Lonchura striata: one gene and its partner. The protein of the gene in region 2 interacts with the protein of the main gene of each other region in a biochemical or structural test. Links are inferred from orthologs where the notes say so. Each region holds a gene or a part of one and is shown on either strand. Other genes may lie near its edges.

Region 1 (16,052 bases), on a different chromosome or scaffold from region 2:
TAAATACTGTAATGACAAGCTTCTGCACATAGACTGGAACAAAACCCTGCTAATTTACTGTATAATGGAAATTAAAACAATGTGATTATGTATTTTAAGACCACCTCTTATCTGAAGTTGCCATAAGAAACATGAGCGTGGAGTGTAATTTCAAGGAAGTCAGTGTTTATTAGTCTTGGGTGCTTCTAAAAGGTTCTCTGAAAGTCTCTTCCTGATTTTTAACCAAAGTACCATTGCATTTTCTTTGTCAGAACCCCAGGTTGAATAACTACATGGATCAATTACGTTTCACCGTTTACCAGTTAGATTTAACTGTAAACAGTCAGGCTACTATGGAGACTTCTTTTCAAATCTTCACTTCTTTGTTATCAACAAAAAGAAAATATCATAGAAGGGTAAAAAGTGAGTATATCATTTACTGAATACTCCACCTATACAACTGGCAAAAAATTGTAACTTATTTTTGTCATAATTTTTTATTGGGACCTAAGAGGAAATAAGAGGAGAATTTAAAGCTAGCCAAACCAAGGTTAGTCTGGATTTTGATATCCAACAGATATATATCACATCTGTTCACATTTAACCATATATTTTCATGTTTACATCTGGTACCAGTTAGGTTTGCTATAAGAAAATGCAGGGGAAATGGAGGGAAGGAAAGAGGAAATAGTTTTAAATGACACTTTCCTCTTTGGCTACTACTGAGAAGGAAAACCTTCCACAAGGTTGAGGCAGTGTTCAACCCACAGCCACTGGCTGAACAAAAAACGTACAGGAAAGAAGCTTCTGGCTTTAATTATAAAATATGGTTGTTTTAGTTTCCTGCTTCTGGTCTTACCAAAGGCATGTTTTGCAATTAAAATCACATAAAATGTTTAACCACAGGGGTTCTAACGAAAAGGTCCTGAATCTGAAGAGACACACAGGAAGTTGTGTGTCAGATTGCTTGAGTTACTCAACTCCCACATTCAGAACTGCTGACTATCCTCTTCACAACACCTGTCCATTAATTTCATGTCTGATAAACACTAGGTTCATCATAGCTGAGGATACAAAACATCTCTCTGCTGGTTCCAGTTGTTCTGAAAAAAAAATTTTTTTTGAGAGTTTTCTGAAACATCTAACAGGTATAGAACCTGACGTACTATATACAAACTGATGCTTGCTGAATCTTTTCGTTCTCATGTTTGCTTTTAGCAATAAATTAATGGAATCATATCCTCCTGTCTTGAACACTCACTCCCCACAGAGGCAACCCAATATGCCTTCTGGCTTACTACAGTTACTGAATACCCACATGACAACTCAAACCATACCAAACAGGTCGCAAGCACACATTACGTGTTCACTGCTCCCTAACTGGTAGCTCAGTTCACAGAAAGCAAGGCACAACAATGTCTAGAGGTTACTGCCTATGACTCCTGACAGGGTAAGTTTTATATCATCTTAACAGAGCAAAAATACATCTATCTGCATTTTTTTCAGTCTCATAATATAACAAGACACTTTTGATCATTCATTTGTTCCAAAAGAGACACTAAAGCATCATTAATATCTCCATCAATGATAAAAAGCACAGGTTTTGACAGCAACTGACAGTTTATACATGTTGTTTTCACAGGCCCACTTTCTAAAAACCTACTGCTTGTTGTTCTCTTATAATGGTTTACAAGTCAGAAGTATGAGGCCTCTAAAGCATACCAAAGCATTTTGGTCTCCCACTAACACAAGTCTTGCTGAAGTCCAGAACTTTTGTTTTTCATGCATGAAAACCAGTAAATGTGGTTCTACTAATGTCAGTTTCTATACAAAAGAAAGGCTTAAATAAAAATCACTATTAGGCCCTAAAATAGTAGGTGAATTAGGGTGAATTAGGCACATTCTTAGTTTTGAACACAATCAATTCTCCATAAAAGCCAATGGCACTGTGGTAGAAGTATTTTTACACAAGAACTCCACTTAACAAAATATATTCCTTCAATGTCAGAGCAATTACAACCAAGGGGAAGCTCTCTGCACACAGTTATGCTTAGTTACGAAACACTCCTCCAAACATCTTAGTGAGAGTTTTGACTGCAATAAAAAAACAAATCCCAAAATCAAAACTCACCTTATTTCCACACGAACAAACAGCTGATTAAAAGCATCTCGTGGTTCAGTGGAATCAGGATTCCACTTCTTCACTCTCCACCTGATGTAGTAAAGAAGACCTCTGCTTCAATAGACTACTGCACGCCCTGAATAATCCAGGAGAAGAGCTGGGCTCTGAGGTCTTCCTTGAACATCTATTTTAAGACAACACTCATGAAGCACTGAAGTGTCAGCTGTGCCCTAGGGACACAAACTGCGCAGAACCCAACACGCCGTATTACCCTGAAATTCCCGTCTCTGTGATCAGCCAGATGAGTTTTCCAGGCATCTTCCCTCCCCTCCTTACTCCAAATATCCTTCAGGAGTATCCACCTTTCTATGGGCAAGAAGGCACACAATCTTTTTGTGATTATTAAAGGTTAATGTACTTCCACTATTTCAAGCAGTATCACAAGTAATCAAAACACAACTTCAGAAGGTATTATATGTACTCTTTAATTGAGGCAATTAAAACCCAGACCACACAAGATTCTGGTTTATTTTAGAAGTTAATATGATCTTATTTTAAGATACTCCTGGACAGAAGTCTAAGCAGCAGTTGCCATGCATATATTTCTCTGACAGACAAAAGAATAACACTGCTCCCAATCATAAAGAAAACTTAATGTTTCTGCTCTGCTACACAATCCTTCCTTTCATCCTTAATGAAAAAAAAATTGTGCAGGAGAACTGTAAATTCACTGAACTTTCTTACATCACTGAGTAAAATATGAGAAACTTGAGTTTCAGCACTGCTTTAATCAGAGGATGCATTAAATAAAGATAAATTCAGCTTCTTTGTATGTAATTGTTACACCAATGCCTGTCTAATATGAAAAAAGTATTCTGACTAGTGAAACAAACAGAGGTGGTTTTATCCTTGCTTTTATTTGTTTCTACTATTTTTCTATGGCAGTCGTTCCAGGGCTTTGTGTAGCACACATTCACACAGCCCTGGCAATGTGAAACATGTTTGCTCAACTTTACATCATCTTCCCAAAAAAGATGAGAAGACAATCATGGAACACTTTTACAGGCAGATACTGAGGTTAGCTTTCATCATTTTTTACTTATGAAGTAAACACACAGATACTCCACAGTTTCATTCTGCAAGTGAAGACCAACTGCTTAGTGGAAAAACACTAACAAATGATCAATAGTGAGCACCTACACTCTCATCTTCAGACATTCTTTAAGTTACTGAATTCCCCTTCTGAACATCCATTGCATGGCAGGGAGTTCACAGCAAAGCAGTAAAATCAAACACATACCCAATACATTGAAAAAAAGGTTCCTGTTCAGCTGAGCTGACACAGGAACACAAGCACAGATACTACAACATGGCCTTGTTGAAAACTATGACCCAGCACAATGTGCTTGGACAACGTAGAACTCACACTCGGGAACAGATCAAGTAAGTATTTTTTTCCAGTAATAACTGATGGAAGAGGCAAAACACAGGACAGAAAAAAAAGACATTAAAAACAGACCTCTTTGATGTTTTCCATCTACTACTATACAAAAAAAAAAAAAAAAAAACAAAACAAAAAAAAAACCACAAAAAAAAAACAACCACTCAGTCTGTTGTTTAGGAAGGACTGAGTAACAGTTTAAGGAACCCTTCTGCTCCATAGCACAACATTGTAAAACATTGGCAGTCAAGGCATTGCCTGCTGTCCCAAATAGAATTAAAGCTATGCACACAAGAACATGCTCCTGCAATCTCCAATATACTTCTGTACTGAACAAAATTAACACGAAGAACAAAAACATTTTAGAATTGACAGGAACTACCTGAAATAACTATACTTTGCAAATGACATTTTAATTTTGTCAAGAACATTACCTAACTTGGTTTATTTGTACTTTCCAAAAACCCCTCACTTCTATCCATGACAGTCTTTATTTTGTTCACCAATTTAGTCATGTAATTAATATCAAAGATTATATGTGTTGTGTATGAAAAGGATAAAAATAACTCAGGAATGTTAGTGAAAGTGAGTGTTACTTGCACTTCAGATCCTTTCAAGTTATCCCATCTACAGTTTCAAGTTCATGCATGTCACCGGTCTTAAATGAAAATCTCTGTAATAGCTCACTTCTATCTCTTTTTTCTGTGTCAAGTAGAGAAGTGACATATTTAATGTATTAAATAGGAAATTATTAAATGACCTTTCAGAAACACATACAATCTAAAAATAAGCTAAATACTAGCAAAATAATTTGTACTGATGTCCAACATTACATTACGTATTCCCTTTAATCTGTATTTCACTTCTTTCAGGTTTTTTGGTTGTTGTTTTTTTTTGTTGTTTGTTTGTTGTTGTTCTTTGGGGTTTTTTTGTTTGTTTGTTTTCTTTCTTTAAATTTTATTGAAACTGTTTAGGTAACAAATGACTAGTCAAAATAAATAAATTCTGCCCATTGATTCAGAGCAGAATTCAAAGGAATGGGAGACCATACAATTTAGGGGGAAAAGATTATGTGCAACAATTATAAGGAAGACTTCCATGAACTTTTAATCAAACTTTGATTATTCATTCTCAGGGAAAAATCTCAAATTAAGAACAGTCAAGCAAAATAGAGGAATCAATCTCAAAAAAAAAAATCCTACCAATAACCATTTCTAGAACATTTACTACTTTGTAGCACTCATAACTTTCAAGAACTGCAGATGGGACATCAGGAAAATATTCTTCAATGAGAAGGTGGTTGGTCACTGGAACAGAGATGTGGTTATGGCATCAAGCCTGCCAGAGATCGCAGAATTTCTATATGCCCCTCTTAGTTATATGGTTTAGTTTTAGGTAGTCCTGAGAGCATCAGGGAGCTGGACTTAACAATCCTTATAGTTCCCTTTCAACTTGAGATATTCTATGATTAACTCAACTATTCCAGGCGCTAAAAATAAATATGCAATTAACTGTTCTTCCAGAGCTAGAGACCTCATACATCATCTCCACCTAAATTCCTAGGCAAGGAGGAAGACACAGCCTAGATCTTGTCAAAGAGCTTCAAAACTAAATTTACAGTACAGGGATGAGAGAAGAAATTAAAAAAAAATTAAATTTATTAGAGCATTTTCACTGGAGAAGCTCTTCAAACAGTAATGAGTTCAGCATACCCACTAGGATTTTAAAGAAAGGATAATAAGGATTTCTTTCACTTTTCAAATGCATTAGGGCTGTGTTTTTTCCCTTTATTTAAGAAAAAAAATTCCAACCAAATACTGAACAAGAAAAGCTGGAATTTATATCCACTTTAGTGCATTTGCTGCCTTAAAAGTCTATTTTAAGATACACACCCATTCTGACACAGCTCAACTTCCATAAAGAAAAAAAAGAAATTGCCTCACTGATAGTTTGCCCAGTGGGCATCAGGGTATTGAATCCAACTAAAATGCTTTTGCAAAATCTTCAGATCCAGTCTGTTCCCTCCTCCCCATGTTTTACAAGGGTAAAAACCCCAAAGAACTGAGTGATCTACAAGTAAAATAATGTAAGCTTCCTGTGATAGGCATGCTTTCTTCTGAATTTAAACAGCACTTTGCACAGGAAGTCAACATAGACTCACAAACAGAACTCATAAGTATTGTGTAAGACAAAACAAAAACACAGTTTATCTGAAAAAATATTATGCCCACAGGTTCCAGACCACCAGGCATGAAAATGAAAATTCTATTCAAAAAGCCAATAATGTAAGCACCCTCTTCACTTCAGATTTTTGCAGCTGCCATTGAGCACCAAACATGCCTCGAGAGCATCAGAATTAAGGAGCAACATTTTTGCTCTAATATTCGCAGATTCTCTGTGGTGTCCATTCCAGCAGAGCCAGCTTTCAGGAGGAAACTTACTGACCAATTTCAGCAGCAAATTTTCTTCCAGTCTTACCACCATCTGCAGGGTTTTCATTTCAGGAAACAAAATCAGGAAGCTTAGTGCATGAATATTGCTTCTTGGTACCTTAAGCTACAGGCTAAGGCACACAGGTCCATTTCTTCCAGTTGCATGGAGCAGCATTTTTGAAATGTTTTGTTACGCAGTGCAGGAATAGCATTATGTCAAACAGGCCTTTAAAACATTTCATCTCTTTCAAAAGGAATGGCCTTAGCAAGATGACTTCAAAATAAAATTCTCCCCCAAACTGCATTACTCTTAAACACAAGCTCTTTCTACAATGCATACACGAATGCAGAATACAACCCTGTGACTGAAATAGGCCGTAGTTGAAAGACCTTTTACTCAGGCCAGGATTATCTAGAGAGCCAAAACATCAACTGCTTGTACAAACTGTAATTTTAGCATGACAATACAAAGAGGGGGGAAAAAAAAAGAGGGAAAAAGTCTCTCCTGCTAGCTATGCCACCAAAATATGCCCAGAGCTCATGACCTTCAGTTTCTTTAAGATTCTAAACAGCAGCATCAAATCATAGGAGATATTTCATGTGCTTGAGAACAGGGAAATGCATGGCAATGAGGATATATTTATAGATTCATAACATGGTTTATAGAACTATAGAATGGATTAGATGGAACCTTAAAGATCATCCAGTGGCAATCCCCTTGCCATGAGACAGAAAATTTATTTTTTAGTGTATGGGGGGTTTTTTTAATGGATTTGACATTTTAAAAAATTGACATAAATACAGAAAAGACCTAAATACAGAAAAAAACCTGCCTCTGACTTGGCAGATCACTGTGTGTAGTCAAAATACGACACAGCAAACTCTACCTGGTATTTTAGCAATGGCTATCCAACATGCTTGTCATTCAACAGACCAAATCCCACCTGTAACAAAAGTGCTGCGTTTTCAGCCGGAAGGCTGTTGTTTTACCCACTGTCTAATTCCATATTTGGCCATGGTCGTGAATCTAACCAAACACGCTTCAGTTTCACTTTGATCTGAGAACTTCATTTCCTTCTCTGCAGAATTCTATTAGTAGAGGCAGAAGCAACACGGACTTTTCATGGCTTATTTCAGGCACAAGCCAAGGATGCACACACACACGGCTGTATCACGATGCCAGCTTATCTCTAAGCATATGCAACCACCTCGGTATTTCAAGCACTTCTGTCAATGCACGGGCAGCTCTGAAAGCTTTCTGGCTTTCATGAACACCCTGAAAACACTTATTTCGTACACCGCTGACACTTCTGTATTTTATTTCTCCTTTCGCTCGGGGTGGGGTGGGGAGGCGGGGGGTATAATGCCCCGGTCAGGAAAACGCCACGAGCAGCGGGTCTGGTTCCTACTTCCCATCAGAATTATGACGGCTTTGGAACTGCAGACACCTACAAGGCTCCTGCAGCGGGGCCACGCAGGGCGACTTTACACCTGGCGTACACGGGCCTCGGCGAGCCGGGCAGCGAGAAGCGCAACAGCGCCGAGAAAGCGAGGGAGCTCCTCTCACCTCTGCCTGCCAGCCAGCTAGCCCTAATTAACCTCAGACAATTTTCAAGCCGCGGACTGCGGGGGCAGCAAGACGACGAAGGCTCTCGCTTTTCCTGTGGGCACGCAGCTCCTCCGCCGCGAGGCCCCGCGGCCCCGTCCCGCACCGCTGGCACTCACCGCTGGGAAAGGGCTCCATCTTCCTCCCGCAGCTCTCCGCGGAGGCGCTGCCGCGGCTCCTCACTCCTCCTCCTGCCGCCGCATGCTCCCGGGACGGGCTCACTCCGTGCCCCCTGCCCGCGGCTCCCGAGCTGCTCCGGAGCTTTCCGGCGAGGCGGCCCCGGCCACCCCCCGCCGCCTCCGCGCTCGCTTCCTCCTCGTCTGCCGGGCCCGCGGCGCCGCCTCCTCGCCGCACGGGCCCGCCTCACGCCGGGGATGGCGGGCGGGCTCGGGACCGGCGGCAGCGAGCCGCGGCACCGGGCGGACACGGCGGCGGCACCGGGCCCGGGCCGCGGCGGCGGGGATGCTGCCGGGCCGGCTTTGCCTGCAGCTCCCTGCCGCGCGCCTGCCGTCGCAGTTTAACCGCGCGTTTGTTATAAATGAAAATTTGTCCAGCCGAATTAAAATGAAAAAATAAAATATTTATTTTGCAATCAAATTCTGTCTAGAGCAGCACCGAGCCCGGGGTCGGCCCTGGGTGTGCAACAAAGAGGTCAGCCTCAGCAGAGGTTTTTCTCTATGCCCACACACCTCCATCCTGGCACAAGCAGTTTTTATAGGGAAAATTCCGCCTGAGGCCAAGATTTCAGCAGTCAGTCTTTTCTTCCATTCAGAGTCCATAGGTTAATAAGATTTTCTTTTTTGGTTACGAGGAAGAACAATTCAGTATACGGAGTTGTTGAATCCCTTGATGAAATTTACTGAACACTGCATTCACATGTATTTGCCCGAGGATTTCCATGATATCCATCTCGGGTCGTTCACGCGATGATGTCCCCGTATCCCTCCAGACATGGCCCATCTCTTGGCTGAGCCACATCCTTTTATTTAAAAATCGGGTTTCAACATAACACCAAGTTTTGCCTGTGAGGGTGGGAGGGGGACTTCTAATACAAACGTGTATACTCCAAATATTAAATATCACATATATCATACTAGAAACGGCACGAATTATATCTACTACACATAACACTTTTTATTTAAATAAATAATCCCCTTATCATCCAGGTAGTGTTCTGCTGTGCAAGGCACAAGAATCAAAACGCAGAACCAATTGTGTTCAATGTGGCCAAATGATGCCACAAAGAAAGACTGGATAGTGTTCCAGGAACCAAACACAGAAGATCAAAACAATGAATTATTATATTTGTATAAAATAATTTTACAAAATGGACCTGGTTTTTGTGAAAGAGAACCAGGCATCCACGGTGGATGTCACCATAAAATATGGAAGTGTTGAAACATCATTAGAAGTGGCTGCTGTGGGAAAAGTAGAGCAGTAAAAACAGCTTCAAAAACAAATTCAGGAACTCAAAAATGCTGCAAATATTGTATTTATGGGTTTTCTGCTTGACACATGTGGGAAGTGGCATCGTGGCAGCTGTGAACTTTCGAAGGCCCTGGGTCTCTCCAGCTTAAGGAGAGGACTTCCCATGGTTTTCAGGGCACTTTTTACTTCTGTGGACATTTTGTACATGTTTGCTGGTAAAGCACATTGCATTGTAACATCGTAATCTGTGTAATACTTGATAACTACATAGCATCTTGTACTACTGTCTTTATTGCAATGTGTTTTACTACCTATAATTAAGTGTTGATAGGTGACAGTAATACTTGCTGCCACCCCCTGTACCCCCAGAGGAGATGGGACATGAGAGACAAAAGCTTGTGATTATGACTGAACATCAAAAAAGAGCCATAAAATTGAAGGTGAACACTGTGAACCTAAAGCCACTGCAATCCTCTTGGCATTAGGGAGGGATTGCATGTAGAGATGGCAAAGGAATCATGGTGTGATATGTCACATGCCATCAATTTGGGATAAAATTTTCCTGACGTGGATCAAAGTGGCCAGGCCATCTATACTTAACCTGCAAAAAGAACATATATAAATGATATGTGTTCAATATATGTGTGCCTCCTTACTGACTTACCTGCCCCCTGCTCCCTTGCAGCTCTGATCCTACTATTACCTGACTGGTTAAGCTTTTTTCTTAAAACAGGAAATTTTTAAACACTGATTTTTGGGAAAGGAGAAAATGGAAATTGATTACTTCCAATTAACACAAATTAAATGTCCCATATTTATTTAAAAATAATTTTTAAAAAGAGGTTAATTGTTTCTTGAGTAAAGAAGGGACTAGGGCTAGGGGCCCACAAGAACCCAGCTGCTAGCGCAGTCCTTTTCCTCTTCTCTGTGATTCACAAACCTAGAAGTGCACTTTTTCACACTTGATGATCATGTTTCACAGACTTAGTTATGGTGACAACCTTGTAGCACAATCTAGGTCAAAGTCATCTTTCACACTACATCCTTGGAGTTTAACACTGGCCTTAATGTTGGCACAGAGCTAAGTGAGTTTTAATAACCATTTACATATTCTCAGACATCCCTTAACATATCACAACAGCCCATTGTCAAAAGAAAAACTTATTTAAATTATGAAATCACCAAATAATTTATTTTAATAGGATGACAGGTCTCTAGAGCTTTCTTTTCAAAACACGAACCCTGTCTGGCCTATATTTAAATATACTGGAGAAACAGTATCTATGCAGCTAACTTTGCTGGGATTCTACACAGTGACATGCAGAGAGGCCTGAATGGTGTTTTTTGAGCACCTCATCACACGCTTTCACCATTCTTCATTTCTGCCAATCAAAAATCCTTAATTAGTATAATACATCTTTGGGAAGCTAAAAAGCTAAAATAAGATCATGTTCTATTACATGTGCAGAGATTTCCATATCCAGATTTTTCATTAACATCAAGTTTTAAGATAACACAGTGGGAATTAGTCATACAGAGTAAGTCAGGTATAGAGCTCATTTCACAGTAGCACTGTTTGTACTATAGTAGAAGAATAAGGGTTTTGCCGTAGTTTTGTATAACATCATTTAGGAAAAAAATTAATGGATGTGAAGGTCCATCTTTGCTAGTGTTGGTAAAAAGCTAGAGTTTCTACATTACGATTTTTTAAAAAGTGTCTAAAAGTTACAGGTCCTTTCCATTATAAAATATATACAGATTTTAGTTATAGCTTATGAGTAATTTGTAGGAGTGAAGGACTTTAAATTATTTCTTTTTTTTCAGATTCTAAGTCAACTATTGCCACAATTATTTCGCTCTTTTTTTTTTTTTTAAGATGCAGGATAAATAAATCAATTCTGTAATTGCTCAAAGCCATAAATATATCCTTAGAGCATCTGCAATAACCTGTATTAGGCCTTAATTTGGCAGCTTCCATTCAACAATGTCTAATTAAGTCCTTTTCATGGTTAAAATATGTTTGCCAGCAACCCTGCACCTTTTTTAACTTTGAAGACAAGCCATCTCTAAAGAATGCTTTAGATCTTCCAGCTTTTAGACACCTGGAAACATGACTCAGGCTGTCTTTTTCCAGTTTATTTTTTTCATAATGAAGATTTCATGAACAGTACAAGTGTCAGTAGACACTTGGGTTCTTTTGACCCAGTGGAAAGTTTTCAATTGTTTTCAACCGGATCTGCACGTAAGAAGCAACAACACACAGTAAAGCTTTGTAGCTGAGAAACTGCCATGCCTCCAGGGGCTGGAAGGCAAGGGTTCATCAGTCTTGCTAAAACATGTCAGAAGTTGCCCAGACTCAGGTGTGGAACTAGTGAATCATTTGTCTGACAACCTTAAAAGAAGATGAAAAAATTGTCCGAACAAATACTTGTGCTTAAAGCTTGAGCTGAGAGATTAGGAATAGGGAAGTTCTTTTATTCATTGACTAAATGGTTAATACTGCTAATCAATATGTTAATTTCTTCCTGATTATGTATTTTTCTATTTAAAACCAAAATTGCTTCTTTGGTGCGCACACCACTCACCACTCTGAACATATCTGACATCCTCATCCCCTATCAGCACAAATTACAACCACTTGCAACCACTTTTTGCACAGAGTACTGTCCCAAGCAATCCATAGCATCATGTTTGCAAAATAAATATCATTATCTATGTATCTATCTATTTCTACAGGGGTAACCAGTTCAATAATTAAAGAAAATAATTTTGTGAATAGTGGAGCTAAATGAGGCATGGTTGTTTTCACATATCTTAGTTCACTGCAGATTCTTGCTAGGAGAAGCAGCTGCTTCCTCAGAAGTGTCACTTCTATCTGCTTTGTGTTGTCTTACAACCTACCTTTCAGCAATACCTCCGAGATACATGTTCCTCTTTTTAATAGAGTCTGGTTAAATTCACACACTTACCTTGCCTCTTGCCGTGTCTCTTTCAGAAACATTAAGACCACTGTGTACTTTCTTAGAATCCAGAAAGCTCTTTTTTCTTTGTGGCCTAGAACAAAGCTTTGACATAGTGCCTAGCCCAAGATGCAGTCCCATTTTATTGTAGAAATAAACACCTGTGGCACAGGAGCCTTTGGAAAGATTACAATGCTACATTACAGATAAAAAACCCCAAGCTATTGTAAGGAAGAGTCATAGTCACTCCACCATAAATGCTTTTCTTTCTTTGCTGATTTTGTTTAAGTTATAAAAATAAATAAGCTATTGTTAGAACTTTCAGGTCCTAAAATTAATCCAGTGTATTTTTCTCTTAGTCTTGGAATATTGCTAGCATGTTTGTATCTCAGTTCTAAAGACCTGTGTCTATTGTTTCATTTCTTTAAAAAAACATGTACTAGCTAGAAACTATCATGTACTATAAGTATATCCACCAGGTAGCACAGAAGTAATTTGTCAATTTTTGTGGCTGGAATGCTATGGGCGTGATTCAAAAGTTGCTTTTTCCGCAGAATAAATTAGGATACAGTTAAGTGTGATGATTTAGTCATATCTAACAGCTTGCCACTTTGTAAAATTGCTGCTTTTCCCTGCTCTGTTCTTGCTTCACGTTTCACTGTGCACCTTACACCAACTCTAATGCTTGTTATATTCCTCTACAGGCTGATTTCAACTTTTCAGCTGCCTAATCTGGCAGAAAACTAGTTCACCAAAATAGTGGATAATTTAATTTTGGGTTACAGAGTTTTATCAGAATCTGCAAAGTATCTGGATAACAATAGCAACAGGAGGGCTCATAAACATGCAGCTAAGCAACCTCAGCTCAGAATTCTCCTCTGCTTCCAGTAATAAACTGTCTGTGCCAGTCTGCCCCTTAGGGTTCTGTTCTTCACATGATCCATAGATTATCCCTATGTTTGTCTCTCTTTTCAGTGATTGCATTGTCAGCTCAGCTCAGGAAGCAGTCTCTCTTATCCACCATAAACTGAAGCTATATAGCATTGAAAATAACCATTCTTAAGTACTGAGAAAAAAAGGTAGTAAATTAATTCACTAAAACAGAAGTTTAATAAAGTAGGAAGTCTGCCCAGAATAAATGCACACTGAGCATTTTCAAAGCATTTAGGACTGACAAGACTTACTTCTTGGAATCGACACTAAGTGATTAGTAAAGCAACAGTAGTAAAGCAACAATGGTTCTGATTTTGAGAGCTTCAATTACTATGCTTAATGAATAAGATATAAACAGGATGATTAATAAATAAGATACAAGCATAATATCTAATTCTTTTATAGCCAGAATAACACTGGAATTTAAGAAGTCATCCATGCTCACTGCTCATCTCTGAAGTACTCCATTAAGCAACTGAATAGTGTTACTTTCTCCTTTCAAACTGTAAAGCTGCCAAAGAGCTATGACCTGAAATTGTCAGCCACTTATTGGATGCAGTGAAAAAAACTTTGTGTATTTTTATTAATGTATTTGTCAATCTTTGTCTAGTACTACAAAGTTAAGTGATGTGAATCAGGCAAGTATTGAATATGAGAAATATGAGTCAAAAGTAACTTTGCTCCTGATACACTTAGTTTGGTGAACATGCCTACTGTAAGGTACTAACCTGGTTGATGTGTTCTCAGTCTTCCATAAAGCAGAAGTAAGCACAAGGTGTAGTGGAATGGTAGGTGTAAAACATCCATATATATACACCTCTCTGAAGTGCTCAGTGTCGACACCCCTAGTTTGATTCTATTTGCACAGGGCAATGAGGGCAAAACCCCTTGCACCCACTAAAAGATTATAAAAGGAAATTGTGCAAAACCAGCCTGACAAATACTTCTGTAGCAAAATAGTATACTTTAGTGGTGTTCTCTCATAGTCTTAAATTATTTAGTTAACTGTAGAGCTTTTACTTGCAACAAAAATACAGCCTTCAGTCAGCATATGTTAAAGGAGAGAGAACATACTAAACACTAAACAAGGTGCACATGTCTGTGGCATCTATTAAACCACGGTACTCTAACTTACAGCATCTCAAGACAAGAAAGCATAAAGTCTGGCCAGTGGTGTTTGAGCTTTAATTCAATATATATTCAGAAACTAGAGTTCTTTCCATTTGCCTGTGGTGAATTTTTCAGTGGTGTATTTATTTCACTGAAAGTCTATCCCCATGTTGGCAGTGTTTCTTCAAGAACAAATCTTTGAGAAAGGCAGGTAGCAAATGACTTGGTAACACTGTGTTGAAGAGACATATCCTTGCTTCTGATCAAACATTGTAATTACTCTACTAAGTTTTTAAATAAAAATTGAAAACAATTTCAGGTATTAATACAATCCTTTTATTTTCTTTCTTTTAAGGAATAATGCTTAAATGGTAATACTTTAATGCTGAATGCTAATGCTAATAATGCTTACATCTTAATGCCTTTAGCCTCTTTTTATTCCTGTTATCCGTTCTAAGCAGTAGATTGAACTTAATGGGGCCTTTGTGCTGCTGCTTGATGGTAGTTATGTGCTATTGTGAAAAATTAGTTATAGAATTGTTGCTGATATTAAAATTATAGTCTATGTCTGTCCTTTGAAAAATGTCTGTTCATAGATTTTATCCACAACCACATTAGAAAATACTAATTTCATGTGATTCTTCTTATTAGAATATGTTTACAAGATGTCTGCAGAGAAAGTAAATGCAGTCTGAGTCACAAAATAATGGCGTGAATCCTCATGGGTAAGAAATATGATCTCGCACACACAGGCACGTGAAATTTGCAGCTGATGGCAGATGGGAAAGGTAGTTCTAGGTGGTGTACCAAAACATTAATTTAAAAAAAACTGGCCATTTGGTCAGGCTAACTTTGACCCAGTAGATTATATAGATGTGCCCCAATACACAATCCAAATAGCTGAAAAACAACATAATTTACAGGACAGGTACCACTATCAGTTAGCAAAACTTGATATGGAATTAGAAATTTGTAATCCTCCCACTTCTGGCTCCAAATGCAGGGAATAATTACCAGTAATGAATGAAAGCACCATTAATGTACAAAACTGTTTCTGGGTGTAAGACATAGTACTGAATGACATTTTTTCTGGAATACTTTTCAAGTATTGACAAGCCCTTGAACTAAAAAAACAATTAATTTTGTAGTTCACTTTCCTGAGGGGATTTAACTGAAGTTCTCATGCTCCTATAAAGTGGTTGGTGCTCCCTTTGTTTTCTTGACACGTTTCTTAAAGGAACTGTAGTAGTTCCTTTGAGTCTGAGTCATACAATATAACTAAATAGTGTCGCAGAGAAGAAAAAAACTCAGAAGGTTGAAATAGGACATAACTTATTTAAGAAAAAAATAATATTAAATGTCTGCCTATGGACTCAGGGTTAACTAGTCCTGTCTACTTTTATTTCTTTATGCAATACTTTAAATACACAAATTTTTGAAAATTTATTAGATAGACCCCAGTTCTCAAGATTGTGTGTATACTATAGTGTTAACAGGCCACACTGTTGATATGAATGGGTAGACTGACGTAGCTCCATTGACCCTCAGTACTGTTACAATTAATTATGAAAGCTAATGATTTAACTCCCTAATTTCCACACTGATGACTAGCTTTCCCATTGACTGGTATGAGGGAGTGAAAAAATTGCTCTTTCCTGAAAATGAAATGATGGGAATAAAACACTTGTTTAAAGAATATGCTCAGTTCTCACTCAGATCATTTCTATGGAAGTACAGAATCATCACCACTATGATTCAATAACATGTCTCCAGCATAGCTGCCATCAGGGAGAGGAAAAACAGAGCTCTGTGTTTCACAGTAGTTTTAATTGTCATGATTTGGTGAATTAGGATAGTCCATTGCACATTTCCAACTCAGGAGAAGGCAAGGCAAGACAAAGCAAGGCAATCATTCTCTAGAACAACTAACTATAAGTATGCTTATGCAATTACTAACCTGATGTTGCAATATCCTAGCTTGTTTTCCAAAATACCAACAGCATGTCTGCACTTATCAGCCCCTATCATAATTAAAATGCCA
Region 2 (16,449 bases):
GTTTTATATTTTTCACCGTGATAATGTTCAACAGATTTGAAGCAACACATTCTCCTCTGTATTGCCAGCATTAAAGAGAAAACAAAAATACATTTATGCAACTACTTTCATAGCTTCAGTCACAAAAAACAGGCAAAGCCTTGTATCTAGATGGAATGCAAGTTCCAAAGACTACATATCTATATATTATTTACACAAAATTCTGCAAATATAACTAATTCCAGTTACTTTCCAAACATACATACCTGGCACTTTCTAAGAGTTCATCTTTCTTGTATTCACCTAGAAGACAAAAGGGTTTTCTTTAGCTGTCAGACAAATATGTGATGTTCACTATTTATCTTCCTCTTCTAAAATTTTAGAGAATGTAAGTGCTAGAAGGACTAAAAACTACTCTTTTCAGTTGCTAAAGGAAGCTTTTAAAAAAGAGGAAGGGGGAGTTTTTACACAGGCAGGTATTGAGAGGACAAAGAGAAATGTGCTTAGACTAGAAGAGGAGAGATTTAGGTTAAATGTTAGGAGGAAATTCTTTACTCAGAGGGTAGTCAGGCACTATAACAGGCTGCCCAGAGAAGTTGTGGATTCCCTACCCCTGGATGTGTTTAAGGCCATGTTGGATGGGGTCTGGACAACCTGGTCTAGTCAATGTTCCTGCCCATGACAGGGGGTTGGAATGATGTGATCTTTAGGGTCCCTTCCAACTTAAGCCATTCTATGACTAAAAATTTGACAGTTCATTATTGGACTAATACGATAAACTATCCAGAACACATGCCATGACTGAGATGATGAAAGCCATATAGGAATTCTATTTAGAATTATAAACTAGAGCCAAGTTAAAGTAGTATCAAAAAGACAAGCTCCAAACTATTGTGTTACATCAGTTCAACTGTTACTAGCAATAAAGAAATCTCAAGATTATCACTTACCAGTCAGCACTGCTTTTGCAGATGGGTCTGCTAAATCCAAAGCTGTTCTTCCATCTGTGTTCCGGATGGTTGGTTCAGCACCATGTTGCAGCAGTACTACAAAAATGCCAAAGTTTTCGATGAGAAAACAATTCTACAAGACAAGGTTTATCATTACTGTAATCTGCAAACAATAAAAGAAACATTCTAACTTCCTTTATCAAATTTTTAATGTCAGCATTCTGCACTGTGACCAGTGTATCTGATGAAATGTCTAGACACATTTTAAGGGAAAAAAGCAGATCTGAAAGAGAACAACCACAGACTGACAAGAGACAATCTCAGTTGAAAGCTTGTGACTGACCCACCACAAAAACTCAGCAGCTATTTTCCATCAGCTCCATAGCATGCTGTCCCAAATCCTGTGCTCTCCTAACCTGCAGATAGCAGTGGCAGGCTATGCATGTTGCACTCAGGCTGAACAGGCAATGTTATCTGTACAGCTCTCGAGAGCTTTACAGCTCTCTTAAAGTAAATGACAGCAAACGACACAATCAAGAAATGTTTCTTGACTATATGTCTAACCTTCTACCTCTTCTTTAAAGAGCTCCTCTTAAGAACTGTGTAAGTAAAACAGGTAGTCAATATAATTGAAGTTTTCCCATCCTTAACTAATTTAACACAGCTGCTACACATAAGATAGAATGAATCAGTTATTAAGATCACTTTTGTTCTTCCCACTGCACTGTGATCAGAAGAAAAAGGCAGCATAAAACCTAGGCTGAAACAGAAGAGAATTTAGCTCCATCATGTCACTTTAGAGCACCTTCACCATGATGAATCTTTATAGGTAGACAATTATAAAAAAATATCCAAAAACCTGTATCTTGTAACAGTGACATATCAATTGAAGTTTCTGAAAGATGTTTACTTTTAACCCTTGTTTCAGCCATAGCTCCATAGAGTTAAAATAGTCTTAAAAGGGTTCTTGATTTTTCACAGTGAAAACAAGTGAGTCAGTCACAGGAAGAGTGGGAGAAAATTACCAATGCAGACATCTGTCTTTCCCTTAATGGCAGCTTCATGAAGGGGAGTGTAATTCCAATTATCTCGAGCATTAGGATCTGCACCGTGCCGCAAGAGCAAATTGACAACTTCAGCATGGCCAAAAGAGCAGGCGTTGTGAAGAGGAATAAGGCCTCCATCATCTCGTGCGTGGACATTGGCACCACTTTGAAGTAAATATTCAACTACATCCTTCCGACCAAAACCTGGAAGGGGAAAAGGGAGAAAAGGCTTCAGAGCGGGGTAAGAGAAATTCCTGCCCCAGAAGTGCAGATTAAACCAACAAACTACAGTAACAGTAACCACTCCTAAAGACAATCACAAGTGGCATGGTTTACTAAAGAACCATTTGCATACTAAGGATGTTTATCAAACTCTTAAAATTAGATTAGTGGAAAAGGAATATTAAAGATTACAGAAACAACCCTATCTTGATAGGGTTCCCTCGAATTTCAGCTGTATCTTGCATACTTATATAAGTATGCAAATGAACTAGGACATCAAACTGTATCTATATTTGCTTTACTACATGAGACCAGAATGCTTTAGGATTTCTGCTTGTAGCCATTATACCCATCTGGTTATGTTCCAAAGGCCACCTTTAAGGTTCCATGAATGTCTCTGTGGGTCTCAGCAATTATTAGGGCAGGTAAGAGCCATATTTTAGTATGTATCAGTCTTCTGCCAAGTACCTTCTGGGAAATAACTCATGTGCCTTCCTTTAAATATCTCAGTTATAAACTCTTTTCCTGAACAGATCAAGACCTGGATGAAGTCTTGAGCTTGCCCCTCTGAGGCAATAACCATGAAGTTGCCAACACCACTGATATTCAGATTGCAGTGAATTTAAACTTTGCTACAGATCACCCATAGAATGTCCGTGGTAGGTTTAAGTCCTTGCAACCATGACCTAGAAATGATGTATATTCCTGATAACAACACAGCATTTCAGTGACAAAGTCACCAAAGCATACAAGTGTCAGCATTTCAGTTATAACTGAACTTTTAGTCTTAGCTTAGTTGTGACTGAACTTTTTCATACCATGCTCTTCACTAAACCTGACTTCAGTAAATCCCTCTTCTGAAGCAAGAAGCACTTTCACCACCTGGAGCTCCCAAAAAACCCATTGCCATTATTAAGCAATTTCCGGATCCCACTTGCTAAGAGAAGGTCTTGTAGACAAGCTGCATATATCAGAGAGAGAGGCCTGGACAAGTATTCAGGAATACTTTAGTTAAATTCTCACTTTACTCTTCTTCCCTCAGAAGTCAGGTAAGGAGCCACATTCACCACAGATTTGTCATTATTGTAACAATCATTTTATGTCAAACTTTTGAATCACAGCATGAACTTCAAGGTGTTTTCGAGTAACAGTCACAAGGCTATACTGGTGATGTGCCTCCTCAAAACACTGGTGATGTATTTCTTCAAAATACAATACTGATGATACAAATCTTAGCTTATTAGCACCTTGCCTATGATAGAACCACAGACCCTACAAAAAATTCACTTTTGAGTCTCACGATGCCACTTACCCACCTTGCCTGTTCTAACAGAGAACAGAAGCTCAGCATACTTGGGATGAGAACTGGATCAGACACATGGTCCATGCAAAACCAATTTATCTGCACAGGCACAGTAAGTCATATTCACTGCACATGCAAGCATATTTCTGCTGCCAAAAAAAAATATTAGTAGCTATACCTATGCAAGCTTATTGTCTATATTACATTATGTGTATCATGTTTCTCAGTCTTAAATATGTTCAGCTATTCAAAGTATTATAAATACTGTTATTTTTCTTAAATATGGCCTGATATTCTTTTTGTTTCTTCAAGCTTTCAACAAATTCTGTTTATAGTTTGACTATATACTCAAAACGTACTAAATTACTTTGAGAAACTACTCAAAAGAGACCTTCACATGTGCCAGAGTCCTGCAAATACATAATCAAAACTGTTATTTCATGACAGACTGCTTGGTATTTTCTTCTGAGTACCAAAAAATGTTCTCCAGGACTGCTACAATTATGTTAGGAAAGACTCTGACCAAATTCTTTGTTACATATCTGGTAGCTAAACCACTCATTCTTGTACTGAAGACACTCCTATCCCTCAAAGTATTGATGTAAAGCCACTTTTTTACAAGTAAAATTCCTCATCAGGAATCAACATCACAATTGAAAATCAGCTGTAGTAAACCTTATTATAGGCATAGATAATTCCCTCTATTTAATACAGAGGTCAATCAGACACAATTCATGAGCAATCCACAGCTCCTCCCTCAGCAAAGCCTGCCTCTATTCAGAAAGCACCTTCAGTACAGCAACACCTCTGTATCTAATTTAATGTAATGAAATTAATTCATTTGTATCACACCAATTTTTGTAACTTCTCTCCAGCACTGAGTGCACAGCAGGGATTCCTTACTTCCTTGGGGAAGCAACTGTACAACAGGGCACCATATATGGAAGGGGAATTATTTTCCCATTACTTTCTAAAGGATGCATGAGTGCAGAGGAAGTGGCCAAACTGCACAATGGTCTCTGCCTCTGCTGTTCTTCCTGGGAGTGGAAAGCAGGGGCAGCCTTTGCTGTCACGGGAAGGCAGTCACTGCCTACTCAAACAGTTCCTCTTTACCAGTAGCTGGCTGTAGTAAAAACTGTTTAAACACTTTAAAAAAACCCAACATTGTAATTTTTAAGAGGTAGGTGTTTTCTTTAGCTCTTGTGCTTTTATCAAGAGACCACCTAAATGGGATTACACATTTCAACTGCAACGTAATGGTCTTATCATCATGAACTCTTTGTTTTTTATTGCCAACAAGAAAGGCTGGCTACTCAGGACCTTGAGCTGACACTCTTCTCCCACCTGTAATAGTTGAGCAGCTCACTGCACTTGTTCCCTGGAAAGTTACAAATTTTCAGCCGACAATTTGCTATTATTAATCACAGTAGAAATGTACAAGTGTGTATAATTTTAAAAAGGTATTTATTTACAGTCACTGTGGATCATAATTGACATCCAGCTACTTCTGATGGGATAACAAGCTAACAGAAAGAACTTAGCTCAAATGCTTCTCCCCTACCCTGGGTGTTCATATTTTTAATGAAATTTAGATTGCAAGAGGGGCATTTTGGTACCTGCCAAGTCCTTAAAAACTTCTGACTTTGACACACACTGTGATGAAAAAGATTGACTTGAGGAAATACATGAAGTTTATGAGGGGAGAGGATGGAGCCTCTTTTATTGTGAAGGGTGGTGGGCCCTTGACTTAACCTTCAGGATAACTTAACTACCACACACAGTTGTGTACTACAAAATCCAAAGAGCAAGCTCCAGCAAAATTCCAACATGTATTACTTCTGATAATGACACATTTCTAGGGAGAGCTTGAAGATTTTTTTTACACCTTTTACTTCAAAATCCACCTTTACAAACACACACATGGAAAAAGAGGAATTTTTTTCTTAATTGTTAGGTAAGATCTGGGAAAAGTCTTAAAAAATATAACCGAGGTTCAGATCCAGAGTGTCAAGTAAAAAGAAAAAAAGAGCAATAAAAAACATGGTGACATGGTGTATTTCAGCTCCAGCTCCTCCATAAAAGAAGTCTTGCAACTGAATGAAACTAGTCAGAGAAGTTTTGTAATGCATTTTCTAAGAACACTTAAAAACAAAGCAGGAATACATCAGATTTTTGCTTTTACTTCCTGGAATGTGACTCCTTCAGAGGCACAGACAAAAGAAGTGAGTATTATTCCAACGGTGAATAATAGGGGAAAGGCAAAACCAAACAAAACCAGTCAGGCCCAAGTCCAAGAGCGACTTATGTCCACCTTTCAAACAGAGCCTACTGCAGGTGGGCTGACAACAGCAGAGCTCGACCTGAGGCAGTAAATAGAGTTCCATGAAGAAATCACACAAGTGTTTTCTGTCCCATCTTAGCCAGAAACCCTCAGCATCTCCTACAGGCCCCTGAGAAGAACAATTAATTTCTCTGTACCAAGTCATGGTGACATGTGCATGACAGCAGTGTCTCCCATTTACACACCAACCTGCCTAACTTTAGAAATCTAACAACTACATGAACTTATGGCTGTGCATTTTTTAAAGAAAAATCTTTCTGCCTATCAGGAGTTATATAAAGTCAAGACAGATCACCCCTATTCAGAGAGATAAACTAGATCATTACAGTGAATGAGAAACATCTTAGGCCAAAAAAACCCCAAAACTAACATAATAAATAAATAAAACCAAAACTAATAAATAAATAAAAACAACCCCTCATTTCTCCAAAATGCTCTAAAACATACACAGTTGTTTAGAAGTTCAGTGGGCAGGTAGGATTGATGCATATAAAAAAACAGCCACAAAAACTGTTTTCCTCTGACAGGATATTTTGTCTCCTGAGCTCTCTTGCCGATTAGGCTTCTTGAATTTATGAAATACTGCTGTTCTGAGGAGGCTTTCAAGAACTTAGACCTCTTAAGCCTGAGTCAAGCTCTTTTAACATGAGGAAAGGACACCCGAAGCAGAAACCTTTACCAAGACAATCTAATAATGAAACAAACATCTTTGTTATTATCCATATTGATTAGCTGAAAAGAAGCTGTTGTTTTCTGCAGACTGTCAGCCTTAGAGTCCAACATCTACGGCTGTAATTAAACCAAACAACCAACATGGAAACAACAGTCACAGTCGGGTCTTTGTCTGAAAAGGTGGGATACAATCTTCTGGCCAATTGCCAGTGAAAGCAGTTGTCCTGTGACGTCAATTGTTTGCTTACGTCCTGAATTAACAAAGTCCATTTGTCAAAGATAAGAACGCAAAAAGCTTAGAAACGGTGTTATCTGACGAACTCCTTCATGCGTTCAATTCTAAAAATGCACAGGCCCGCTGAAATCCATGAGAACTGTACGTGGGACAAGTGTCCCTGTCAGAGCTCACGTGTCACAACACGAACAGCATAAACCCCACTCCAGATGTGTCCTCAAAGCCAGATGAGATTTGGTTTTTTAAAAAAAGGGGGGGGGGGGGGGGAAGAAAAAGCAAAGGAGGGAACAGCTGTACCGCTCGGCGACCCCTCCGCGTGGGTGAGACGGGCTCGGTCCCGGGGCCGGGCGCGATGCTCAGGGGCCGGCGGAGCGCTCGGACCCGGCGCTGCACCCGGCCCGAGCGGCGAGGCCCGAGCGGCCCGGCCCGGCCCAGCGCCCCGGGCAAGCGACGCCGCCCCCCGGCTCCCCCTGCCCCCGTACCTGCGGCGAAGTGCAGCGGGCTGGACTTCCTGCCCGCCGTGTCCCGGCTGTTCACGTTCTCGGGCCGGACCAGCCGCTTGACCCGCTCCACGTCCCCGTTCCTGCAGGCCTCGAACAGCTCCCGGGCCGGCTCTGCCGCCGCCGCGCCGCAGCCCGGCGCCTCGGCCAGGGCGGCCGCGCCGCCCGCGCACCTCCGCGCCGCCATGGCCGGGCCGGGCCCGCGCAGCCCCCGCCGCCCCGCGCGGGGCTCCGCACGCGCTCCCGGGCGGGCGCTGCGCCCGGCGGAGGGATCCGGGCACCGCCGCGCTCGTGCGCAGGCGCGCGCCGCGGGAGCCGCCCAGCGGCGGCGGCGGGGCTGCGGCCCACAGCGGGACGGCGCCCACACGGCCCGCGTAACCGGCCCCCTTGGCGGGGGCCGTGAGGGGCACAACAAAGTACAGCACTAGCGATCCGCCCCAGAAGAACAAATGTGCCTTTGCTGTGTTCAGTAATTAAATGTAGGGGTTTCTGTTCAGGGATTTCCGCCCCCCCCCCGCAAAGTGTGGAAGACTGCATTTGGGTGCCAATGGCTTCATGATCCTTGCACAGTTGCTTATATAGGAAAATACTGTGACTCCGAGGAAGTTCAGTGCTTGCAAAATAACTATGTAATGGAAATTATACAACATAAATAGCATAGTTCTCTTTATTAATGTCGAAAAACAGATATTAAAAAACCTGTTAGTTGACTTTGCCAGTTCAAGGTTTTGGAAGAGAACAGAAATTGTCCTCTCTCTCCCCGCAGCCCCGCAATAAACCTCACTGGCTTGGTGGGGGAAGCCTGAGCCCAGATGGGACTGACTAGAAGAGAATTCAGTTGATAATTCTGAAATGTGTTTTTTTATTCACACCATATTAAAACACTTTGGAAAAGGTAGTTGAATAGGGTCAGTAGCTTCCTGTTGCAAATGCAGAGATGAGTACCTCCAAACTCAATTCAACTTTCAGGCTGCTGTCACATTAGGAAATTAAATTACTTAAGTGCAAGGCAAAGGATCTAGCACATTTGCACAGTCTTCCATTCTGTCAAACATCCCTGTCCCTGAAACAAGGCAATTACATCCAAATTTTCTCTCCCTGGTCCATGCTAATGCCTAAACTGCACCCAGGAATTTTTTGTGGGAGACTACAAGCTATACCAGGCTGTCACCATGCTCTAGTGACAGATCAAGGTCTGATGCTTGTGTCTGTGTCCTGTTCAGTTTGGTAATTTACACATAGCCACAGCAGTGTGACAGAAGAATGCAGCCAGCACAGGGCACAAACCACATGCACTGACAAATGTGATGCCTTGGTCATGCGTGTTTCCTGTAATCCCACTGGCTTTTCTCTGTGCCTCCATTGAAATTCCAAGCTGTGCTCAGCAGGCAGGGAATAGCCAGAGTCCCACACATACATAATTCATCCACTGCTTTGCATGGGGCCATAATGTTCCTGCATAAACTGTCATCAACTGTGGCTCATAGGGCCTCTCAGACCTTCCCAACTTCTCCAAAGTCTGCATGATGAGAGCTTCCCTTCCTGCCTGCAGGCACCACAGACTGAAAACAGGACCTGAAATGCTGCCATTTGTATCTTTTATTGTCACCATTAACATGTTTGGAAAGCTATACAAGCTTTTGAGTTCATAAACCCTTCTCTGGGCCCACAGCAGAAGTAGCAAGTGCACTAACTTGACTACTTTCATTTTAAAATTAAAGAAGGGACTTTGTATCTAGAAGTGTGTGGAAGTGCAAGTACCTGTGTAAATCCAAACACATCCTGCTCCTCAGGTCTTCTCAGTAATTTGAAATCCAGAACAATATTTCACTGTTCTGCTGGAGCACGATTATAAAGAGCACCGCCTGAAATAAATTCTACATTTCTCTCCACACCACTATACCCAAAAGGTACTATTATTCTAAATTATTTGCAGCCTGATTTCCTTTTCCAGCATGTCTTCATTATAGCTTGAGTGTGAAACTACAGCAGGTCTTTATGAATGGAAACAACTTTGAAAAATTACACTGTAAGAGCAGGATTCAATTAGCTTTGAATTCAAGGAAGCAAAGATTCTCAGCATATTTTAGGACTAGTTATTAATAGCCTTCATAGTGATTTTTGAGATTCAACATAAAAACACCTCTCCTTTTTAATGTAATTTATTTATGTTATGAGAAAATAATCTGCAAAATCCAGTATTTTTGTTCTTCTGTACAATAGCATGGTTAGGAAACCATATCTGAAATATATGCCAAATCCCACCCAATACATGTGGTAGGGACTTTTCTAGAGGCAGCAGGAGGTTTGTAACCCACCTGTTACTAACACAGCCTGAGAGGCTCAGGCATGAACAGCTCAGAAACATTTCACTGTTATTCCTTTCAGAAGTATTTTGGAAGAGTGCTCAGTTTGTTTAGGAACATGCTTAGTTGGTCACTAGGGGGCAGGAAAGGAAAGGAGATAAAAAGGAAGGAAAAAAAATAGAAAAAAATGACGGGGTCAAAAAAGGAAAAAGAAAAAAATTGAGAAAGATATAGAAAAAGAAAGAAAAAGAGGGATTGTTGGGCATGGAAAGACTACAGCAGCCTTAAAAATAAATTATTTTCCTTTCTGCTTAGGAGATTAAGGTTTACTTATGGGGAGAGACATTGTTCATGCCAATCTGCAAGGCAGTCCATCAGATTTAGGATTTTTGGCTGTCAGCCCTTCATGTTATGAGGATTTTCCAGTTCTTTCTAATTGTTCCCTGAAGTTCTTTGCCTTGCTCTTGGAAGCAAAGTAAAATTCTGGAATAAATAGAACATTTCAAGAGTTCAGAAATGTAGCTTATTCCAAAAGGAGAATAATTTAAAATTTATTCCATTTGAAACATTTCCAGATGAGACTTGGAAAAAAAGCCCAAACCAGGGATAATGAATGTGTACATCAAGAAATAATAAAATATTCTATGAAGAAAAGGGTTTGTTTTGGTTACTTATTTATATTTATTTTGATCTGTTGTTTTATTACTATATTTTTATATATATAAATAGCAACTTTCTCAGTGAAAGCTTCTTTTTCAAAATGAAAATATCAATTTATGAAATACAGGCTCACTGCAAACTCAAAGCAGTACAGGCTGTACATCAGTAAATATGTGTAATACTGGATCTTTAAAGAAACTTTCTCCATTCCTCTTCTTATTTTATCCATCAATTACTTTGGCTATGTCTCTTGAACAAGCAGGAACTGGTTCTTTTTCTCTGCCAGTTACCCATGTGTAGTTATTGGTGTTTTATATGTACCTCCTTTATTTTACCAGCAGCTGGGGCTAAAGTGTAATAATTATAAAATGTTGTTCTGGAATAACAAATGGATTAAAAAGAAAGAAAGGAGACATGGAGATGGTGAAATGTTGAGAGACTGAGCTTTTCAGAGAGGAGCAAGCACAAAGCCACGTGGTCCCTATAGGAGATTGGGATACCCTGTCAGTTGTTCACAAGCTGTAATGGTAGGCCATTAAGTTATCAAAATCCTGTACCTGTTTATGCAGTAACCAAGATAATTGTTCAGCAGCTTCATGACCAGCTGTGGGGGCAGAAGTTAGAGAAGATTCGTTTAAGTGCTAGGGAGAAGCTTGCATTCTGGACATCAGCAGCACAGATAAGTGTCTAAGAGTTCATGGAAACTAGATTACACAGAAAAGAAAAGCCAGGATGCCTGTGATTTGTTTAAAATTGTTCCAGTTTTCTGTCAAAAATTGCTAGACAGAAACATGTCCAGAGGGCTTAAATGGAGCTCTTGTATGTTTTTCTATAGTGCCTGGAACATTCTGGGATGACAGAGAGCTTTTTTAAAAGTGTAGGCTCCTTGCATGCAAAGCAGAATTACACAGGATGCCAGCAGGAGAACATGGCAGAGGCCTGGGAAGTTGTTACTTTTTATTGGGAAGAAACCACAAACAGCAGAGGAGCAGTCAGGCCAAAGATCAGCATTGACTGGGGAGGCCAGCAAAACAGATTAATCTGTACCTTCAATAGGTATAATAATATGAAAATGCTAAAAGCAAGTGAAGGCAAACCAGAATATCTGTCCAGCCATGAAATTCATTTTTCTGAAGCCAACCAAAAGAAGAAAAAGTGTGGGCTAATTAGGTTAAAATCTGTGTAGAACTGACTGAGATAGTAATAGGGAAAGAGCAATTTGCTTGAAAAATCATCCTAAGGGAGAATATTTAGAATGAGCAACCAACAAATAGCGGAAGACTCTCCATGCATTTAAATTGCAATTCAAGTGACATTTTATTAACAAATTTCAGTATTTATTTTCTGTCCCAATTAAATGTAAAAAAATACAAAAGGCTCTGTGGAGATTCAGACATCTTCACAATCTGTCCTGGGCCTTTAACAGAAGCGTCCAGGTCCTCCAAGAAATTGCCAAAGCAGGCAGGTTTCTCAGTGTTTTACTTTTAATTGCCCTCTGAAGCACTGTTCCCCTTTCCACTGATGGCATAAAAAACCTATACTTTTAATTTGGATACCTAAATTGGTTGCCCATAGTATGTAAATACCATCCAGAGCAGGCAGTGTGAAGGAAAGCAAAGAAACTAAATGTAGTGTTTTTTAAGGAAGTAGTAGTGTACCACTCCAAATAGTTGCACATAGATTGTCAAGTTGTTATTTCAGGCCAGATCTTTGAGAGGCAATTTCCCAACAATTCAAGTGATGGCTTCTTGGAACAGCTAGTTCCACAGTCCAGGGTAAAAAATAGGAATATGAGGCTATTCTTGATTTCAGCCTAAGAAAAAGTTACTTAGTTTAAGAAGTTTTTATAGTTTCACCATGAAGCAATAGTTGTCAAGTCCAGTGAGTTTCAGTATTTCTAATGGAAAGCTCCTGCTGAAAAGTAGTCCATGGCAGTGATTCAGAAGAGCAATTGTGATGAATAGAAGGAATGCCATTACAGTGATATTGAAGTCAGACATTAAAACATTAAATTCCTAAGACTGACTGTGAAGAATATATTTATACAGATTTTTAACTGAATAACAGAAAGTAGGAAACATGTTCAAACATACCATTCATTTATGTGTATACACAGCCTTTCTCTGGATTTTTTTTTTATTTTTTAGCAAGAGAGAGAAAATTTTAAGCACTTTATTCAGGCATTTTATTCTAGGATTAGTTCTGTGATCTTTTAAAATGCTCTAATTATTATAAACAACTAAGATTTCTTCTATATAGTTTATATGAAGCCTTATAGCAATAATTTATGTCTTTATTTATCCATGGAAGATAATTTTGCCATTCAGTCTAGAAAATTACTGATTTTCTTCTTTTATCAAACATGCTTTGATTGTTGAAATGTGGTCTTATGGTGACTCTCAAAGCATGGGTACACAGTGATGTATTCTGACTGCCTAAAAATAGTAAAAGGTGCTAAATTTCACCTGGGAATGTGATTATTTAGCTCGATATGTGGTATTTGGCCAGTACAGCCAATGCCTAATACCTGATAAATTCCTCTTTAAATGGCAATACTTTTTAGTGTATAGGATAATGCTGTATAATGAAGATCTATCTATTTGGGAAATAGAGAATTTTCCTTTTTATATTTTAGAGGTTACTGAATATGTTTCTTTATAATTAAAAAGTAGGTCATTTTTACTTTATATGATTACATAAATGCTAAATATTGCTGCTAAGGTGGAGTTACACAAGATTTTATTTCAACAGCAAGATTACTAAATATATCTTAGATTCTATTTCTCTGGAATGATTCCAGGAGCATGAATGGTCATCCTTCTCTCTTTCCTTTTAAATTCTTTGCCTCATCTGGCCAGGCCCTTTGGTCTTCAAGATGAGAAATACCAAACTGAGTCTCCTACCTCACTTGCCCAGAAAATGTCCAGTGGGAACCTATTTTACTTCCAGATCTGCCTCATGACTTGAACAACTTCAAACTGGAAACCGAATGGCTGAATAGAAGGTTAGACTGGTGTGGAGAAGTGGGCATGATGAAGATCTTAAAACTTTAAAGACATTTGAAATGTTATCTCTGCACACAATATGTGTGCACAAAAATCAAGATCTAACAGCAAAATAGCATTTTTGACATTAGGTTACTAACTAAGAGGTTTTCTTCAGAAACAATTTCACTGATGATCCTTTCTCTGCTGTCTGGACAGCTCATGGAGCAGAGCTACTGCTGTCTTCCTCAATACTGTCCTTGCATTGAAACTATTCAGTGTGGACCAGAATAGCCCTTGCACTCTAGATGATAGGAGCCAGATGTTCTTGTGGCCCTCTTAGCTTGTAAACAGAAGTCATCTGCAACAGATAAACACTGGATACAAGTTGGCCTAATTTGTATTTGATCCAAGAGAAATAGTATTCCTGGAAAAAAAAATATATGGAATGCATGCTAGTTACTAGGAATCTTAAATGGTAGGCAAACAAATGATCATTTGAGTCAGTTTGACACAACCAGCAAAGTCAGCTGTGCATTCAGAAGGGTGTAGAGCACTGTAGAACTGATAAGAGTGCATGCACAAATGGCTCAAGGGTTTTCTTCTCCATTCAGGCACATTACACTAACAGTATTTGATGATACTATTAGGAATATCAGTTTCCCTTTTTATGGCTACATTGAGAGATCCAAAAGCAGTCGGTGCTGTAGCAAAGATCTGAGAGGACTTGGTGCCGATTTACCACAACAACTGATAAATGCCTGTGTTCATTTTATCCGAGACAGAGAAGTCACAGTAAGGAAAAATCAGGAGGAAGTGGGAATCCTCCAATTTAGCCAAAAGAGCTTGTAGCAAAACAAACTTGGAATAAGATAAAATTGTACATTTCTGAGCAATTCTCACTTGGCATCTACTCAGGTAACACAGAGAGGGAAGTTCTGGGAAGTTGGATTTACCTATAGAGAGTGTGAATCAGAAACTGTCTTTTGCATCTAACAGCACAGTAATACCATATTGTGGGGGAGAACTGGTCTGCTTTTAGCAGAGATCTCAAAGAGTCCTGTAGGTGTAGCCCACCTTGGCTAAGAGCTGAATTAGTTACTTTTTTCCCACGTGGCCTAGTTCTGTCTAGCAAAGTTTTGGAATATTTGGAGTAGTCATGTTGACTTACATAGCGAGCTTTGCTAATTAAGCTGGTCAACTGCCAGTCCCTTTAGGATAGGAGAAGAATCTGAAGGCTTTGCTTCTGCACTGGCAGAAGAGTGGGAGAAAAAGAAATAAATCTACTATAGATTCCCTTAGCTAACATTCCTCAGCACTGTGTTATTTATTTCTGGACAGATTTATAATGTACTTTGATGCTGAGCTCATAACATTCTAAAAAGGAATATTTAATAAATCCCCGAAGAGAAGAAGCAGAAATCAGAACATCATGCTTCAGTATAGTAAGAAATGAAACAAGTATTCATGCTACCTTACATTGTTCAAAAAAGCTATGGGAAACCATATGGTGAAATCTAAATTATGCATTAATGGCCACCCTGAGACCACTCTCTAAAGCAACATCCTTGTCCAGCAGATGCTGACTTGGAAGCTTGGGTTAAGATATGGTGTGAGCTGGTGGCTTACACTGCACAGGGCCACTAAGGCTGCAGGCTGCAAGGAACTGGTGAGACAGGAGGATGGATGGACGATGGGCAGGGAGTTCAACACTGTTATGTGAAGTGTGCACTACTTTGCACTTCTTGCAAAACAGCATTTCTACAGCTATCTTGTATTTTTTATTGAGGTAATTACCCAGTTGGGATGGTAGAAGAGTTAACTGTAGGTATGGTAAGAGTTAATTCCAGAATGAAAAAGGAGTGAAGTAAAAGCAGATGTTCTGCAAAGTGACACTAAAACTACCTAAATAGTTCTGTTGGCAGAATGGAGTAGTAATAGCCTTGCTATTATTATTAGTCTGATCAGAAAGGATGAAATTCAAGCTATGCTCACACACAGGCCAAGCTCACAGAGTTGCTCAAGACTCAGATCTGTATGTATGGACAGAAGTCAGCTTGGCACAGCACTGAAGCTCCTCCTTTAGGAAAGCAGCTAGAGGAATCAGATTTAACCTTTAGTTACTGACTTGCTTTGGAAATATACTTTTTCTTGAAAAAGAATCAGGGAATCCAAGACTGTGTGTTTGTATTTTGAAATTGCCTAGTTACTGATTCCTTTTAATTTCTAAGCTACACTTTGTCCAAATACTTTACACAGAAGATTTATTGGCAGTTTGATTTTTCTTCAGGCAAACTGCCAGTGTCCTAGTTTAAACTCCTGCTTCTGCTCTAGCTGTTCCCAGCACAAATGTGAAAGCTTAGGTGACATTATACTCTTTGGACAGAGGTTCCAAATTCATACTGTGACAAGGCTTAATATAGCCCCTCTGTGTCTATATCCAGAGGAATTGTGCAAAGCAGCTGGGTATGTGGTTACTGGGAGTAATGGCAAAGTCTGATAGTCTTTTTAATTCTGATGCCAAGCATCCTTTATAAATCTTACAACATGGTGCCATTTGGAAACCCTGCCTTCTGTCCATTGTTTAGGGAAAAAGAAGTTGAATGAAGAGAAATCACTATAAACACAATAATGTGATAATATCACCATAAACATAATAATATGAATTATGTGTCAAAAAGTTTCAAACCAAAAATTTAAAATCAATAGAAGACCTTGAATTTTTAGGCCAAAATGGGACTTCTGTTATGCTAAAAAACTGCATTAGAAATATGACTAACAAATTAAATTGTAATGCTGCACACAGGATATTTTGTACCCTGTTGTTTTGCAAAACACTTACAATTACTAAATGGAACTATTTACAGAAATGTTAACCAAGAATCCCAAACAAGAAAAAAACTCCGCATAAAAAAGTCTATGAATTTTTTTTTAATTTTGGGAGGTGAGGGGGAAATATTTTCACCAGCGACTGACAATTATCTGCACTTTGTGTCTATGTAATAGGAAAAATTATATTCCTTCTCTTGTAAGAAAAAGTTATGCTTACAAAAAAAAAGCCCCAAACAGTAACAGCCTTTCCAGGGACTAGTCACTGAGAAGATCTTCCATAGTTCCTTGGTACCTTGATTGGTGCTTACTTCACATTCTGTCTTTCAATTCAGGGATCTCTAAACAGCTTCTTAACTAGAAAATTTTCTGTCAGGTATTGGGAGGTTTTAAGTTATCGGGTGATTAAGATAAAAAAATAT

What was found.
Region 1: the proteins of TNKS2 (region 2) and LNPEP form a complex in vitro, tested with the Homo sapiens proteins (4 studies listed by BioGRID and IntAct, with this or other methods). The link is inferred for Lonchura striata from reciprocal best matches to the Homo sapiens genes TNKS2 and LNPEP.

Annotation. Positions count from the first base shown.
Region 1 is NC_134642.1:2,735,806-2,751,857, forward strand, and holds the start of LNPEP (leucyl-cystinyl aminopeptidase), read right to left. Parts: upstream 7,842-16,052; 5' UTR 7,719-7,841; coding exon 7,700-7,718; intron 2,283-7,699; exon of another isoform or gene 2,111-2,282; intron 1-2,110. UniProt on the Homo sapiens protein: Release of an N-terminal amino acid, cleaves before cysteine, leucine as well as other amino acids. Degrades peptide hormones such as oxytocin, vasopressin and angiotensin III, and plays a role in maintaining homeostasis during pregnancy.
Region 2 is NC_134609.1:16,485,669-16,502,117, reverse strand, and holds the start of TNKS2 (poly [ADP-ribose] polymerase tankyrase-2), read right to left. Parts: upstream 7,436-16,449; coding exon 7,231-7,435; intron 2,180-7,230; coding exon 1,955-2,179; intron 1,026-1,954; coding exon 930-1,025; intron 283-929; coding exon 246-282; intron 1-245. UniProt on the Homo sapiens protein: Poly-ADP-ribosyltransferase involved in various processes such as Wnt signaling pathway, telomere length and vesicle trafficking.